Linked DNA regions of Schizosaccharomyces pombe. The protein of the gene in region 1 binds, or shares a complex with, the protein of each later gene. Each region holds a gene or a part of one and is shown on either strand. Other genes may lie near its edges.

Evidence for each region.
Region 2: tim23 (region 1) and tim17 share a complex: the UniProt entries of both Schizosaccharomyces pombe proteins name them as parts of the TIM23 complex.
Region 3: tim23 (region 1) and tim21 share a complex: the UniProt entries of both Schizosaccharomyces pombe proteins name them as parts of the TIM23 complex.

What each region holds. Positions count from the first base shown.
Region 1 is NC_003421.2:884,285-889,745, forward strand, and holds tim23 (TIM23 translocase complex subunit Tim23), read right to left. Parts: upstream 2,497-5,461; 5' UTR 2,450-2,496; coding exon 1,817-2,449; 3' UTR 1,402-1,816; downstream 1-1,401. Other genes in the region: sorting nexin Atg20, read left to right, coding at 1-889; oca8 (cytochrome b5), read right to left, coding at 3,122-3,271, 3,358-3,449, 3,956-4,103; mrpl31 (mitochondrial 54S ribosomal protein mL60), read left to right, coding at 4,574-4,921; ubiquitin hydrolase Ubp1, read right to left, coding at 5,153-5,461. UniProt on the Schizosaccharomyces pombe protein: Essential component of the TIM23 complex, a complex that mediates the translocation of transit peptide-containing proteins across the mitochondrial inner membrane.
Region 2 is NC_003424.3:1,449,387-1,454,736, forward strand, and holds tim17 (TIM23 translocase complex subunit Tim17), read right to left. Parts: upstream 1,989-5,350; 5' UTR 1,825-1,988; coding exon 1,693-1,824; intron 1,619-1,692; coding exon 1,256-1,618; 3' UTR 541-1,255; downstream 1-540. Other genes in the region: cysteine synthase-like protein Cys12, read right to left, coding at 2,571-3,758. UniProt on the Schizosaccharomyces pombe protein: Essential component of the TIM23 complex, a complex that mediates the translocation of transit peptide-containing proteins across the mitochondrial inner membrane.
Region 3 is NC_003423.3:4,395,861-4,400,941, forward strand, and holds tim21 (TIM23 translocase complex subunit Tim21), read left to right. Parts: upstream 1-3,438; 5' UTR 3,439-3,459; coding exon 3,460-4,131; 3' UTR 4,132-4,541; downstream 4,542-5,081. Other genes in the region: DNA-directed RNA polymerase I and III subunit Rpc40, read right to left, coding at 193-1,239; uap1 (UDP-N-acetylglucosamine diphosphorylase Uap1/Qri1(predicted)), read left to right, coding at 1,480-2,907; adn2 (transcription factor), read right to left, coding at 4,756-5,081. UniProt on the Schizosaccharomyces pombe protein: Essential component of the TIM23 complex, a complex that mediates the translocation of transit peptide-containing proteins across the mitochondrial inner membrane. Required to keep the TOM and the TIM23 complexes in close contact.

The DNA.
Region 1 (5,461 bases):
ACCAGACTTTCCACATTACAATAGCTCACCTTCGGAGTTATCTCCCACACAGCGTCGTTCCAGCATTTCTAATGGTAAAGACGCACCCTCTCCAGTACTCAAAGATTTGACTTCCTATACTCAAGAAGTGATTGTTTGTCGGAAATTCCTTCATCATAGTCTGAGTCCTTCCATACATTCAACTTTATCTAGTATTTCTAAAATGGAGTCTTGCCTTTCAAAGTTAGGATCGGCATTTCACTCTTTGACTGCTCTCAATGAAATACAATTAGCAAATCATTTGCAAGTGATTGCTAATGCCTTTGAATTCAGCGGAATGTACGCCAAGGAATTCGAACAAGAATTTAATTCCTCCGTCTATGAAAAAATGGTTCAGTCTATGCAGCTGGCGAAGTGTGCCGCAGATGCTCTTAAGTATAAGCAATTGAAGATACAACAGCGAGATTTTCTTCAAGACCAGCTCATCCACTCTAACACAATGTCTGCTACCGACTCTATGGTAGCTGCTTCACCCACGATACACCCGGCGACCAGATTGAATACTATTCAACGAGCAGTTGTCTCCCAAGCCAAAAAGGGTTACACAATTTTTGGTCGCTTACAAAACGTTTTACATGACTTTGTAGAAGGTGAAACCTCCATTAGCAAAGAAAGTCTCCAGCAGCATAAGAATACCATAGAGAATCAACTAGCGGCTGCAAATTGGGATTGTCAAAAAATTGACGAATTCATGGATGCAGAGCTTAAATTCTACAAAGAATGTCAGACGTCGCAGTGGGAAGAAATAATTAAATCTGTTCATGAATGTATCTACAAATGGGCACAAACAAATTTACAACGATGGTTGCGAACTCGTGAAGAACTCGAAAATTTATCGAAGGACATATAAGTACGTTGGGTAGGTTTGCTTATAATTGCATTCCGAGTCTTACATACTTTGTATTTTATTTTAATTTCTGCATACATCCTTTTTTATGTTTCTTTTTTACGATTTTGTTAATGACTAATAATACCACATGACAAGCCTTAACTATGAAAGTCATATTTCCCTTGGAAGATCTATCGCTTGGATAAATTTTTAAGGTCGAGTACATTTTATTAATGAAAAATTTATTTAATGCTATTATAGATTTAGAAATATTAATAATACTAAAGCATACAATGAAAGCTGTTCTTCTTTGTGAATATTCATTGTTCCTCCTCTTACCTTTTTATCAATATGTACCGACAAATCGTTTAAATCCTTTCATTTTTCTCTCTACCCTTTTTCTCTTTTTTTGTTAGTTAAAGTGTGCTCGAATAGAGCCATTTTACGAATTACTTGAATAAACAATTACTTAACAAGAACTTTAACCTTCTTTCCATATTGATCACGTACAAAAATACAATGTAATAAAAAGCTGTGGGATAAAAATGATACAAAAAAGTGATATTTATGTCAAAATATGAATGTACTGTTCAAATAAAAGGATTCCAACAAAACAAAATGTAAGAACCCGTATGTTTGTTCAGTAGTTTTATTCCTTCCCTTTGCGAAAAGGAGGTAGGATCAAGGATTCAGAGATATTACAAATGCGAGGAAAAAGAAACGCAGTCAATTCTTTTTGACAGAAGGGTGTTGATAGAATTGAATTTTTAGGAAAATCAAACGACATAAATGAGATGAATAAAACCAAAAGACATAAATCCATTGTCGGATTTACAAATTAGGGAAAAAAGGGTCCGCACAAGAGTGAGAGAAAATGAGTGTCATAAAAGGAACACCTAACTCACATTATCGTACAAATTTTATAACCAAAAGTTACAAAAGAATTTTTTAATTAAGTCGCTTAGTGAAAGAACGCTTTGCAAGGGTCCAAATGCCAGCTGCAGTGGCTACAAGCGAACTACTAATAGCCATAGCACGAAGTCCACGAGTAGATTTGTAAAGAGCACCTGTCAATGCACCAGCTGCAACACTATTTTCCCATCCATGCTTTTGGCGCTTGTAGCCTATTAAAGAATTGATTCCATTATACACGAGGGCAAGCACACCCAAGGAATTACCAACGAAAGGACCACGTCGTGTAACACCGTTCAAAATACCATTAAGGCGCAACCGTGTGGAAGTAATATCTTTAGTTTTCTTCATGCCTTCATTGAGACCCCAGAGTCCACCAATCGCCAATCCACTTAAATAAGAAGTTCCAGTACCGTAACAAAGATCATCTTGCCATCCGCGAGATGGGATAGCCATGCTATCGCCTGGAAGAGTAGAAAGAGCATCTTCCTCAATCAATAAGTAATCCAGAGGTTTATCTAAATCAGCGAGGGGATGTAACTTGGCGGGATCGAATTCAGAACCCGATAAAATATCTGAGGCTGTAGCCTCGGTAGGGACCTGCAATTCAGAAGAATCAATCTTTGAGGTTGGTTCCTCTTCTTTATTTCTTGTAAACAACCAAGACATATCTTAAAAAGTTGATTTTTCGCAAAGGCGCGATGGTGGTTGTCTGCAGGTAGCGGTGGTTACAGGAACTGTGTATTAGCACCTAAATTAAAATAGTAGAAAAAAATTGTTGAGACGTAAAAAGTGTCGCAATTATCATGAATTTACATTTATATATAAAAAAAAAGACTTAATGAATAAATCCTCGATCGTTAAATAACGCCCGAACTTATTTACTCGATCACCGCTTAAAATTCTAGACAAGTTGGGCATAGGTCCATCGATAAAACAATAGAATAGAAGAAACTATAAAACTTTTTTTTATGAGAGAACAAACAACGAAAATACAAAAAATATAACACTAAGTATTATCAATTATACAGTTACGCAAAGCAAGCATAAGACCGTTGTGAATTAAATTTACGTCCAGACAAATCAAAGGTCTCTATTAATATTAATATGCCATTCACATTAAGAGCCAAACCAAAGCGTGTTAAAGGAATACATTGAATCCGTAAATATCCTAAGTACGAACAGGTAAAGAAAGCTAAAGTAGATATCTAACAACAACAAAAAACGAAACTTGCTAGCTCAAAATCACAAAACCATATTCAGCACATTTAAACGACCCAAAACGAAAGAAGGCCTTTAAATTTCTTTGAGCGCAAAAGTAAGACTGGGAATTTAAGCAGTCTATTTGAGGACATACTTGCGAAAAGCAAAGTAAGCAACAACCATCACAAGGACAAAGAGCCACATAGCAGGCTTAACTGGTTGAGAAGAATCATATCCACTTCCACCAGCGGCAGCACCAGTTGTGGGAAGCTGAGGGCCATCTTCAGTCTAAAATATGTTAGAGTGTCGAAGCAAATTTTTACAAAAATTTTAACGAGCCTATGGCGAACGAAGAGAAAAAATAAATGACATACTCTGAGCAAGTTTCCAATGTAAAATTTTTCGAGCAACTCCTGAGCATCCTCAGAGTGACCAACATCCTCGAAAGGACCGCTAGCATCACGACCTAAAACAAGTTAATAATCACAGAAACGAACAAAAAAAAGCCCCTAGCGATGGTAGAGAAAGGCAGAAACTTTGTATAGCCAATCCAAAAGCCGTATGTGAAGAATCGAAGCGATATCGTCAATCAATCTTTCCAAAATTATGTATTTCAGTGTATTCAGAGTACTGGAAATACAAAACATCGAGTAGAGAGCGATCAATCTTGGAACATATAGACTGTACTTAACAATTCACCTTCAATGACAATGTCGCATTAAACATCGTATTTATTCAGGATATCGCATCTATTTTTGTACGTTCCTACGGCAAAGATTCGTCCTGAATCTTTCAAATTAAAGAACATGTGTATATGCGACACCTAAACTCTCGTGAAATTCAAAGTTTTGTAACGCTAGTTGTCTGAAACTTCGATTTCTACGACTCCACACAATCGCGACCAATTTTTATGCATTACAACCAATCTTCCTCAAGACCTCCATTATCGCGTACCCCTAAAAATTTACTTACCGGCCAAATCAACAAGAACCTCTTCACCACCAGGGTGAGCGTCAAGGAACTTGGAAATATCATACACCTTGTCTTTTACAACAATGTACAAATCATCACGAGTGTTATGTTTTAACACTTCTTCAACAGTAATTGTCTTCTCTGCCATGATCAAGTTCTGCTTATTCTTCCTTAAAGGTGGTATTTAACGGTTATAACCCAGGAGCTAATTACTCTCGAGATGTTGGTTGCAAATGCCCTATCGCGATTTATCTAGCAGGTGGGAAGTAGAAATGAGCCGATTCTTACTGGCAGGTGGTCACGTGGATTCGAGTTGGAAGGTACACCCAAGGATATGAACTTACCCAAAACCTATATCATTCTTCAGTTAACCAACTCCACCATTTTGGAGGTGTAGTGTTTATATTTGAATGGCAATATAATATTTAAATCAATTTAGGACGCTAATCAAGTTAATTTTTGTTCACATCTTTGCTGTTTCGTTGGAGCCGTAAACTACTTTGTGACAAACCATCAACTACTCAGAATTTGTCTATCACCCAAAAACTTAACAAAAAATTTTTATTTGCTCTTTTTGATCCAACCTTCTTCCTCTCCTTTTGATTTTATACGAAAAATATGCTGGGTGCATTTAACTCGACTTTGGCTCGCTTTGGCGGTCTTGTTCATAAAGTACCTTGGAGATTATCCCAGCGAAGAAAATATCGTCACCGTCAACGACTTCGTGCCGTCGATGAGGTGGTAGATGTTTTGCGCACGGCGTTGCAAGAGAAAAATCAATCGTGCAAACGAATTGAAAGTTTCGTTGCTAACCATCAGCCTGAATCCCAAATGTCACCAAAGGATAAATACACTATGTTTACCAGGAAGACTCAAGGTGCCGGTCTCCAAGGCTTCCGCAAGGGTGTCCATAAATCACCAAAATGGACCCGTAGTACTAATCGTGTTAATCCCACTGGCTTTTAAAAACGTCTGGTTGCAAAAGTTTACTACTTTTTTTTTCATAATTTTAATGCTCTATGAATAATAAATGTAATGGATTATTTTAATAGCTTATTTTATTACTTTTTTATTGCAAAAACTCCCACCTCTTCCTCGTCTTCGTTCATATTCAATTTCCAGTTTCATACATATTCAAACAAACGACATTAGCCTTTAGTTAGAGTAAAGTTCATATCACCTCTATTATACGTCTCTTTAATTCTTTGCTCTGTAAAACAATACATAAGCAGACGATGTGACAATATCCTCCGGATCTATTTCACAAATAGCTGTATCATCAAACTTAAAGAATGTTTGGCTCGATGCATCTCTTGCATAGGCAGTATAATGACCATTACTCATAAACCCGTGATGATTGTCCACTGCATACAAATCGTAAAGCATCGATTTCTGTGACGATAGCCACTCATGATCTTTTATAAATGGACTCAAAAATTGCTTCAAATTGAGATCAAATACTGGATAAACTACTAAATCCCTTCGTTTACGTCTTCTCCGCAAATC
Region 2 (5,350 bases), on another chromosome or scaffold:
AAAGCAAAAATGGGCTGTTGTGGGAATCGAACCCACGACCACCATCACCCTAAGATGGTATCATACCACTAGACCAAACGGCCACTTTAATTATAATAATTTTTAAACTTATACAATGAAATTAAAAATAATATGAGTAATATGATGGTATTTCTATAGTTTTAGTAATTTTGTGGGATATTTGGAGGTCTTTTCATAACTTAATTTAATGGGACTAAAGTATTTCATTAATGATCTAATTTATGCTTATTAAGTAAGGAGTTTGTTTACTCCCTTAATTTAGCGTTAGTAAACAAGAATACAAGTTTCTGTAATTTAAGAGTATGAATTTCAATTGCAATCATAATACCATCTCATACATATGGAAGTTATTCTCATTTACAGTTTACTTGCAGGGTACTGCAACTACGTGTAAGTAAATTGCATAGTGCTTGTTTCGATAATGGAAAATATATTTTTGAGCTACTGCTAGCTTCTGAGTACTATTGTCTTCTATGCTAATTTAAGCAATTTTGTCTAATTGAATTTGTTCTAAATAAAGCGAAAAAACAATATAGTTAGAAAAAGCACATTCTTTAGAAGCCTATCGAAACTCTTACATTTTAATTTACAAGCTTTGGTGCATTGAGCAATATTAGGCAGTCGATTAATTGATCTATTTCATCAAGCAGTCTAATAAAAAGCAAACACGATGCCGATTCAAAGAATTGCAGTAACGGTTTGAGTCAGTGGAGTATCAGATTCTAGGATACGAGAAAACGCAGAAAGGTATTCTTTTATTGTATTTGCATGGATTGTAAACTACTGGTAATAACGTTACAAAACCAAATCATTACTTTAACAAAGAAAAAGAAATAACGATCAGCCTACGAGATTAAAGCCCTAAAATGAACAAATTCACAACCCTTAAGCGTATTAATGGAAGTTCATGAAAAAATTGAACAGGATACGTATGCTGTCAAAAACTATTTCCAAAAAATGATTTATGTAAAAAAGATGGAGATTAGATTCAGTAAGTTCCGGAAAAGGCTTAAATGTCGAAATTTCAATAATCCGCCAAGTTTATATAGAGCTAACTTAGTATAAAGGAACCGGAAAACGAAAGATATTTTCAAAAAAATTGGAAAACAAGGAAATAGTGAATATGACAGATGACAAGGAATTTTTGGATACAATACGTTGATTGTAAGCATTAAAAATTATTAATACTTCGTTTTATCGCACAATTAAAATAATTTACAAGTACCAATCATTTTTAAACTGCAGCAGGAGCTGCAGAAGTGGAACCGGAAGCCGGGGCATCAGGTATAACTGGAGCGACAGGACGATTATATTCCGCATTCATACGGCCCAAAGCAATACCCAAACCCTCAAAAACAGCCAGAATACAAGCGCATCCAATTGCACCGTTACGAGTAGCCCTCCAACCGCCACGAACTGCTAAAGCACCACCGGTAAAAAAGCCTGCAATAATAGCGTTCCATGGGTCTTCTTTGCGACGAACACCTTTGACGGCACAATCAAATGTACTAAACAAACCACCCCAAACACCAAAGTTACCTCCCAAAACGGGAGCTCTAGTTTTAGCAGCTGCAATAGCAGAAATTCGTTTTTCTCCCTAATTAATAATTTCATTAGCAAATGCCTTCATTCTATTGCGCATTCAACTTTGCACTACTTGATTTAACTTACCGGTGGACTGTTCCTCCATCCTTTGATGGAATGCCAAATGGCACCACCTATAGTACCCATGGAAAAAGCAGCACCGAAATCATTCAAAATCACATAAGGACAAGGATCCCTGGTATGATCCGCGCTAGCCATTTTTTTCTATTTTCTGAAATGTTTCGATCCCTTGTGTTATCCAAACTCTCCGTATTTAATCAAAAAGCAAATAACCTTTCTAATTAATCGTAAAAAATGCTAGTTTACAGCCAGGTCGTCGTCTACTGACTGCACGTCAAATTTCGCAGGTTTGAACTAGGTTTACTCTTGCAGGCAACTCTATTACTCCCTCTTACTCCCTGTTTAACGAGTGCTGACGATTCCGCAAACAGAATTCAGCATCGTAAAGCGGAGCTTACAATACATAGCGTAGCTCAACGTAATACAAATTGTCATTTGAAAATTGAATAGTTCAGCTTAGCGGACAGTTGGATGAAGCTTGTTTTCTGTGCTATATAAATTGTGAAATTTAAAACAAATTTATGAAGGCATTTTAGTTGTCCACATGTTTCTTTCTGAAAGTGTAACAATACCTTTACAACTACGAAAACAATTGAAAAGTATGTGCTATATGATATTTTCGATATTAGACAGAGCGATTTATTATGCTTTAAAAGTCGATATACTAAGAAATTTCAGTTTTTTTGGTAATTGGGGATAATCAAATTTTTTTTTTTTTTAATAGCAAAAAGTATTTGTTCAACTACGAATGAAAATAAATTCTACTAACATTAGGAAAACAAACATAATATTAGGGCATACATTCACGTTAACACAAACAAAGAAAACAGAACTATCGATTAAATTAAAAAAACGTAGTTTATCGAAACTACCAGAGGAACAACCTAAGCTTCAACAAAATCTAAGGAAGAAGGAACTTGTGGAACAATGTTTTTTTTTCGCAAGAACTCTTCGTTATACAGTTTTGAAAAATGGCGAGATCCAGGATCGCAAAGAAGAGTAACAATTCGATGACCAGGGCCCAACTTTTTAGCAAGACGGACAGCAGCGACGCAATTAACAGCAGAAGAACTGCCGACAAATAAACCATCATGGGTGACTAAGTATCGAGACATAGCTACGGCCTGCTCATCAGTTACTCTGTAAGCCATATCAATAAGGGGTTCAGCGATAGAAAAGTTGCGTGTCATTCGATTAATACCCACTCCTTCAACGATGGTATCAACCTGATGTCGCCGACGAGTTCCTTCTCGTTCAGCCAAATCAAACATCACACCGTGAAGAACTTTATGATATAGGCCACTTCCGGGAGGATCAGCAAGACAGACGGTGATGGAAGGATCTTTGGACTTTAGGTAGCGAGAAATACCAGCGATAGTGCCACCCGTACCAGAACCGGCAATAAATGCATCTAATTTTCCAGCACATTGACGCCATATTTCAGGACCGGTAGAATTGAAATGAGCTTGCCAATTCGCCGGATTCTCAAATTGATTAGCAAAGTATCCTTTGCCAGGAATGGACTCGTCGACGGTATGATTGGCAGCATTACGACGAGCCGTATTTACAAAATGATTTGGATCGACGATGGGAGCTGGAGTTACTCTTTGAACATGAGCACCCAACAATTCAAGTATGTCACTTTTTTCTTTAGATTGGTCACTAGGCATATATATACGAGAGTCATAGCCAAGTGAACAACAGAGCATAGCTATCGAAATACCAGTAGAACCGGCGGTTCCTTCATAAACAGCATTCGATTGATAAGGTACTAAATCTCCATTTTCTTCTGCTGTGCGAATCATCTGCAAAGCAACACGATCTTTAGGAGAATTTCCAGGGTTCAGAAATTCCGCTTTGGCGAGGATATCGCAGCCCGTCGCTTGCGAAAGAGATTTTATCCTGACCATTTTAGTATTTCCAATTAGTCCTTCTACTCCATTTACGATGTCTTCTTCCAACGAATCGGCTGACGATTTGACGCGAAGAGACTCGTACAAACGACGTAAAAGGTACATGAAAACTGCACCCATGGCGATTCCACTAGCTAGATCCTGATATTTTTTCGCCATTACATAAATCCTCTCGGTTTTATAATGTCAAACGTTTATATTTACACAAACTGGGTGTACTCTACGATAACACAACAACCCAACCACCAATACTGTTGGTGCTTCCAAAAGATAAAATTAACAAAAAAAAAGACGAACAAAAATCCACGAGAAATAAATACAAAAGGAAATGGCTCGAAATGGCGAAATTTATGAAGAAACTAGTTAATTCTAACTACCTGTATAAAGAAGCCCAATGGTATATCACTAGGTTACATGCTACCCAAAAAGGTTGAAATTATAGTGGCATCGTTGGCGTTCACACTTTGAATTGGTTAACATGGATATACGAATCCAAAAAATCTCTAGAACTCGATTGCAAAAAAATTGATTGACAACTATAGAATGCTTTTTATAGCCTCACCCCTTTCATTCCATTCAAATCGTTTTTTATCGCGTTGTGCATTGCTATTTTACTAATTCGTAGAGCGATGTGAAGGTTATCTTTCGTTATTAGTTTAACGTATTGAAAAGTAATCGCCCTAGGTTTTTTAATAACGCGCTATACTCCTGTAAAACATTTCAACGAGATTTTATGCAGCACAAACTTTTTTGCTGTGCTTTCTTTGCATGTTCACTGGTATGCCAAAATGATAAGAACATCCCAAATTATAAGAATAAGTAAGTAAATGGAATCTTTCAAACATGATCCTAGAATAAAATTATTAGCCGAGAAAAGCTGAATGATTCAAAAGGGAGCTGTAATTGACATTGCGGCAGAGTTTCTTACGGCCTGAATCTGACCCTTTTCCTTGTAAACAAAAGGTGTCCAATGTTGTCGCTCACTGTATCAAATTAAGGAAAATAAGGAAAAGATAAAAGACTTTATTGAAAGTTTGAGAGGGGTTTATTGTGCTAGATTACGTTTTATTGTTAAGCAGCAACTCTATCTACTCGAGTCGAGAAGGAAACTACTTACGTTTGACTTGGTAATGAATGAAAAATTTAAAGTTCCTCAATTCGACATCGTCAAACATGAACCAAAATTATAAAGTTCTTACTACTGGACATGTCATGAATATAGTAAACACATGAAAATAACCCGGCTAACCTTATTGATCTTCATTATCATTGTTGTTCTTATTAGTTCTATGAATTATTGTTGCAACTGGACACATTAATGTAAAGTCTGCTTTGCTTCTCAAATTTAATGACCGTCACAAATTACCAAAGTACGGCTTCCAAGCACACAATCCCAGTCATGCCATTCTAAGTCGGTTGCCAAATATCGGGATGTAGAAAATAAATCTAGAAGAACTCTTCAAAAAAAAAAAAAAATCCAATTGTCCAGTAGCTCTTTTCCTACCCAGTTTACTACTTATTCCTCCTTAGGTAATGTTCCTTCTCTTCGCTGCATCTGCGTTAATTAGGCTTCGCTTCTCTAATTTATCTTCTGCCAATTAACGACCATTTACGGTTACCCTTAACCTAATCTAACGTAATTCGTTATACCACACAATCTCGGGTTTTAGACTTCAAGGTGCAATTTTCTAGTTCTCAGGCTATAAGAGGGGTGTAGGTAATGCAAGGTTGAAATGGCGTCATTCGATGTG
Region 3 (5,081 bases), on another chromosome or scaffold:
AACCAACACTTCTTTTTAAAAGGTCTACTGGTTATCAACAAAATACATGTCTATGATGAATTAAATTTAAAATTAAAGAAAGGACAAAATGTTAATATTGAAATATAGAAATCAATAACTTTCAAAAGTATATTTTTTAACAGCGTACCCAATTATCCAAAAGATTACATATAAAACTAATTTAACAGACATTCAGTCAGAAGAAATATTCTGAAGACTAGACTTTACGGCTAGACATTTCGATTTTAGGACTGCAATGCTTTTAATGAACAAGACATCGGGCTTCATAATACCGGTGCTTTCAACAGAAAACAAATAATGATCGCGTACGCGGCCTAATTGCACCTTATCTGCAAATTCGGGATGTCTCAAGCATTCGCGGGATACGGTGTCTTTTCGAACGTCTGCTACACGGGCTTGTTTTTTACCATCAGGTCCTTCTTCAAGCTCGATGACTCCTTTAGGGAAGCATTTTTGAAATTTAACTGCATCTTCACCTTCAATAGGAGACAAGATATGTATAGTAGGCAATAAGCGGTAGGAGGCAGTAGCAACAGGAGAAAACTTAGCATGGTCTTGTCCAATACCTAAGATTGCATGAGCTTCTAAATCGATTTCCTGGCCAGGACGCAATTTTGCAACAACAATATCTGGGTTGACTACTCGTATAGGATTGTCAGCAAATCGCTCTTCCTGTCGACCTTGCGGTTTCCAAATTAGATCACCCGAATAAACCTCAGAGTTAACGTAAAGTCTCTTTGGATCTTTTTCATCTGTAGCGGCATTCTTATTAAACTCGCATTTCTTATTAAGGGAAAAGACAACAGTATCGTAATCAGTATGAGTTGCCTCTTGTCCTGGCAGAGGATGTTGAAACCATTTAAACATGTCAGGATCAGCAGATATAGGTACAAGACCTATTCTGTGAGACAAAACCTCATCTTGTATTATGCTCGTATTGTTTATGATATACACGAACTCAAATGCAAGAGTTGGGATCTCGGCGATTAAAATCCTCCTAAATGCATTTGCAATGGATGCATCAATTCCAGAAATTTCAAATACCATTGTTTCTTGATCGAGAGACGTAATCGAAACTTTTAAATTTTTTTTAAATTTATCAAGATCCCAGATGTTGTCTTCATCAAAATAATAACCTGGAAAATCTACACTTCCTACATCTGTAACACGATCAGAAAGGACAGAGATTTCTGTCCTTGATCTGTCAACCGCTGCCATTTTTAATTTTATGAAAAAAACGGTGAGAAGTTGCAATATAAACTTTTAAAACCTTTATATGCGTAAAAATTCGCTATTGTGTGGTAAACACGATAGTGCGAATAAAAGTAAGACATTGCAAATTAACTGACAATAGTAGTAGAGCACTTGAAGAAGCGTAAATAGCATTTTTTTAGCGATTCAAGTTTGCCAAACATTCATTTTTTTTTTTTAGACTGTATTTATAACGCTAAATACGAAATGGACGACAAAGAATTGTTTGATCGGTCTATATTTGAAGAAACTAATCAGTTACATTTGTATGATCAATTGAATTATTTAAAAAAGAATGACCTGCAAAAGTTTAGGAAACTTTTAAATCAAGTTCAGCAATTGGACTTACGGTCATTGTGGTTGAAGTATCGAAATGCTAAAGCGACAAGCCAAGAGAACAGAAAATTGTCCCCTTCAGAAGTTGGTCCACTATCTATTGTAGATACGTCTGACTCAAGTTGGTGGAGAACAGGTCTTCGGGAAATTGCTAGAGGTCATGTAGCTGCCTTAGTATTGGCAGGAGGTCAAGGCACTCGACTTGGGTTTGCTGGTCCAAAAGGTTGCTTTAGACTTGGGCTGCCTAATAATCCGAGCATCTTTGAGCTGCAGGCACAAAAAATTAAGAAATCGTTGGCGCTCGCCAGAGCCGCATTTCCCGATCAAGAAGCCTCTATAAGCATTCCATGGTATATAATGGTTTCTGAATGTACGTCAGAGGAGACAATTTCTTTTTTTAAGGAGAATGATTTCTTTGGTATTGATAAGAAAGACGTTTTTTTCTTCCAGCAAGGAGTTTTACCTTGTCTAGATATCTCAGGTAGGGTCCTTTTTGAATCTGATTCTTCATTAGCTTGGGCTCCTAACGGCAATGGAGGTATTTATGAAGCTTTGCTTTCCTCTGGTGCATTGAATGATATGAATAGAAGAGGTATACTCCATATTACGGCTTATAGCGTTGACAATGTTCTTGTTTTGCCGGTTGATCCTGTATTCATAGGAATGGCTACTACTAAAAAACTTGAGGTTGCCACTAAAACTGTTGAAAAAATCGATCCTGCTGAAAAAGTGGGTCTCCTTGTATCTTCCCATAATCATCCTTGTGTTGTAGAGTACTCTGAAATTTCTGACGAAGCATGCAAAGCTACAGAAAATGTTGATGGTCACAAGCATTTGCTGCTTCGTGCGGCTAACATTGCATACCATTATTTCTCTTTTGATTTCTTACAGAAAGCTTCTTTGCACTCAAGTACCCTTCCTATTCACCTTGCATGCAAGAAAATTCCATTTTACGACGTAACGTCTCATCATTATACTACACCTTTAAATCCCAATGGATATAAACTTGAGAGTTTTATTTTCGATTTGTTTCCCAGTGTGTCAGTTGAAAATTTTGGATGTTTCCAGGTACCACGTAGGACTTCATTTAGTCCTCTAAAAAATTCAAGTAAATCTCCCAATGACAACCATGAAACTTGTGTAAACGATATTTTGAGTTTAGGTAAAAGCTGGATTTTAAAGAATGGTGGTATCTTAAGTCCAAGCGACTGCACCTATGTTTCCCCAGAATGTAGTTTACAAGGAGAATCACTCGAGTGGATTAAAGGGAAGCAGGTTAGCAATTGTAAACTTTACTAGTTTCCTCTCCTATATTCAACTATTTTTAAAGGTTTATATAAACAATGTAACAAAGTCAATGTGATAAATTTATTTACTTTCATTTTATATTGTACAATAATCGTCGAAGCACTAATTGCTGTTCTTAATCAGCAAATCAACATTCAGGATTTCAATTACGGTTTTACTTCGATTGTTAATATATTAATTTAATAAATTAATTGACCGTGCGTTTATTGAATTTATTAGTGACTGAAAATTTTCTAAATCATCTTCCACCTAATTCGCTTTCGTTCATTTTAAAATAACCCTGACTTTTAATATATCGTTGTTTAATCATGATGTTGCATTATTACTCCTTTCTTTTCAAGCTAAATACTCTCAAATTTTAGTATGCTTTTTACTAAATTACCTGACTAACGGAATAATGAGGTGTAACAACCATATCACTGCTAAAGCTCAAAAATTTAACGAACTACATTGCATCCTATGTCGAGCTCACTAGACATTGCCTTTATGCCGTTTAGCCTCGTCACTATATACATCTTCTTTGCATCTTTTTGTATCAACTAGATGATTCGTACTATTCAAAGGCAGAGCGCTACAAGGTTTTCTTCAGCTTTGGTTCAGAGGAGATTATACTCTTTGGCTTCTGATTCTCTCAATAAACAACGGAAACCACAAGAAGAAGGGCGCCTGGCACGAATTTTCAAAGATCCGTCTAACAAAGCTTGGAAGGATTTGACGGCTCCTCAAAAAGCATACAGAACTTCTGCTAATATTGGAAATTTTTCGATTGTGATATTTGGAGGCGGCGTTTTCGGATTGATTATATATGCACTTGTCACTAGTATCTGGAAGGGCGAGGCACATTACGGTGATGAAGCTTTTGAACTTTTAAAGGCTAATGAAGAATGTCGATATGTTTTTGGAGATCACATGAAAGCCCTAGGTGAAGCCACGCATCCTCTTCGTCGAACTCATGGTATATTGACTAGTCGTGTGTGGGATCACCATGGTGTAGAACATCTAGTACTACAATTTCACTTAATCGGTAATGAGAGAAAAGGGCACGTATTTGGAAGACTTGTAAATGTTCAAGGTGACTATAAATGGGAATATCTTTTCGTTGATGTTGCAAATTACGGAAAAATCATAATTTTTGATCATACCAATTCTGTACGACAACAACATAAGAATTTTGGTTTATGGGGAAGCTTAAAAAATATTACATGGGGAAATTAGAATTTCCGAATGATAAACGCACGACGGAAAGGTATAGCTGTTAATTTCAACCGAAAAGGAAATCATTGAATTATTTCTCGATTTTAATGGTTTGATTAATGGTTTTTCGCAGAGAATTAATTTTCTAATTTACGAATTAATTTACAGGCGATGTTAATGATTTTTATCAGAATTAGCACACTTAGTTATGCAGTATTTGGATGTATATTGCAAAAAATAAAAAAATCGTCGACACTTTATTACTAATTAAGCGATCGAACCTCATGATTTGTTGTTTAATTAGTTAGTATAAAGAAGCGAATTTGTACGAGGGGCCTTTTCGCAGGGGCTGATTAATCGCCAATCTAATGTACTACCTAAATGTGTTTAGTTATAAAAAATATAAGAATGATTCAAAGCACATGAAATAATTTTGATTATTAGATATAAAGTACAAGATGTAGGCCGGTATTTATAACCGAGTACACTAATCCATATCCAACTAGCAATTAATTATATATTAAATTTTTATAATGACAAAACGCAACGCATTCAAAAAAGATGAAAAAATCTGGTATATAATTTCCAAATAAACAAATTAAAAAAGAAGAAAAACAAGGATAAAATACTTAAGTTTCGACAAAATTAAGCAGCAGTCGAGTCTTCATTATCCGGCAAATTAAACAATCCAAACCATAAATCGTCACCAGTACTAGTATCTTTTAAAAATTTGTCGAAGTCAAAATCATTTAGAAGAGCCGCATCGATGTCTGTTGAATTTCCAACATCCAATAATTGATTGTCTGAAGATTTAGTGGCAACTGTGGTAGACTCCGTAGGTGCAGAAGGAGTCGCGGAAGTATCAGGATTTGATTTTCCTGACTGATTTTGATTATCCAACTCAGAATCGGATTTGTGAACATTTGCTCCTTGCGATGGTTCCAAAGCAGGACCTACACTTGTTGCTTCAT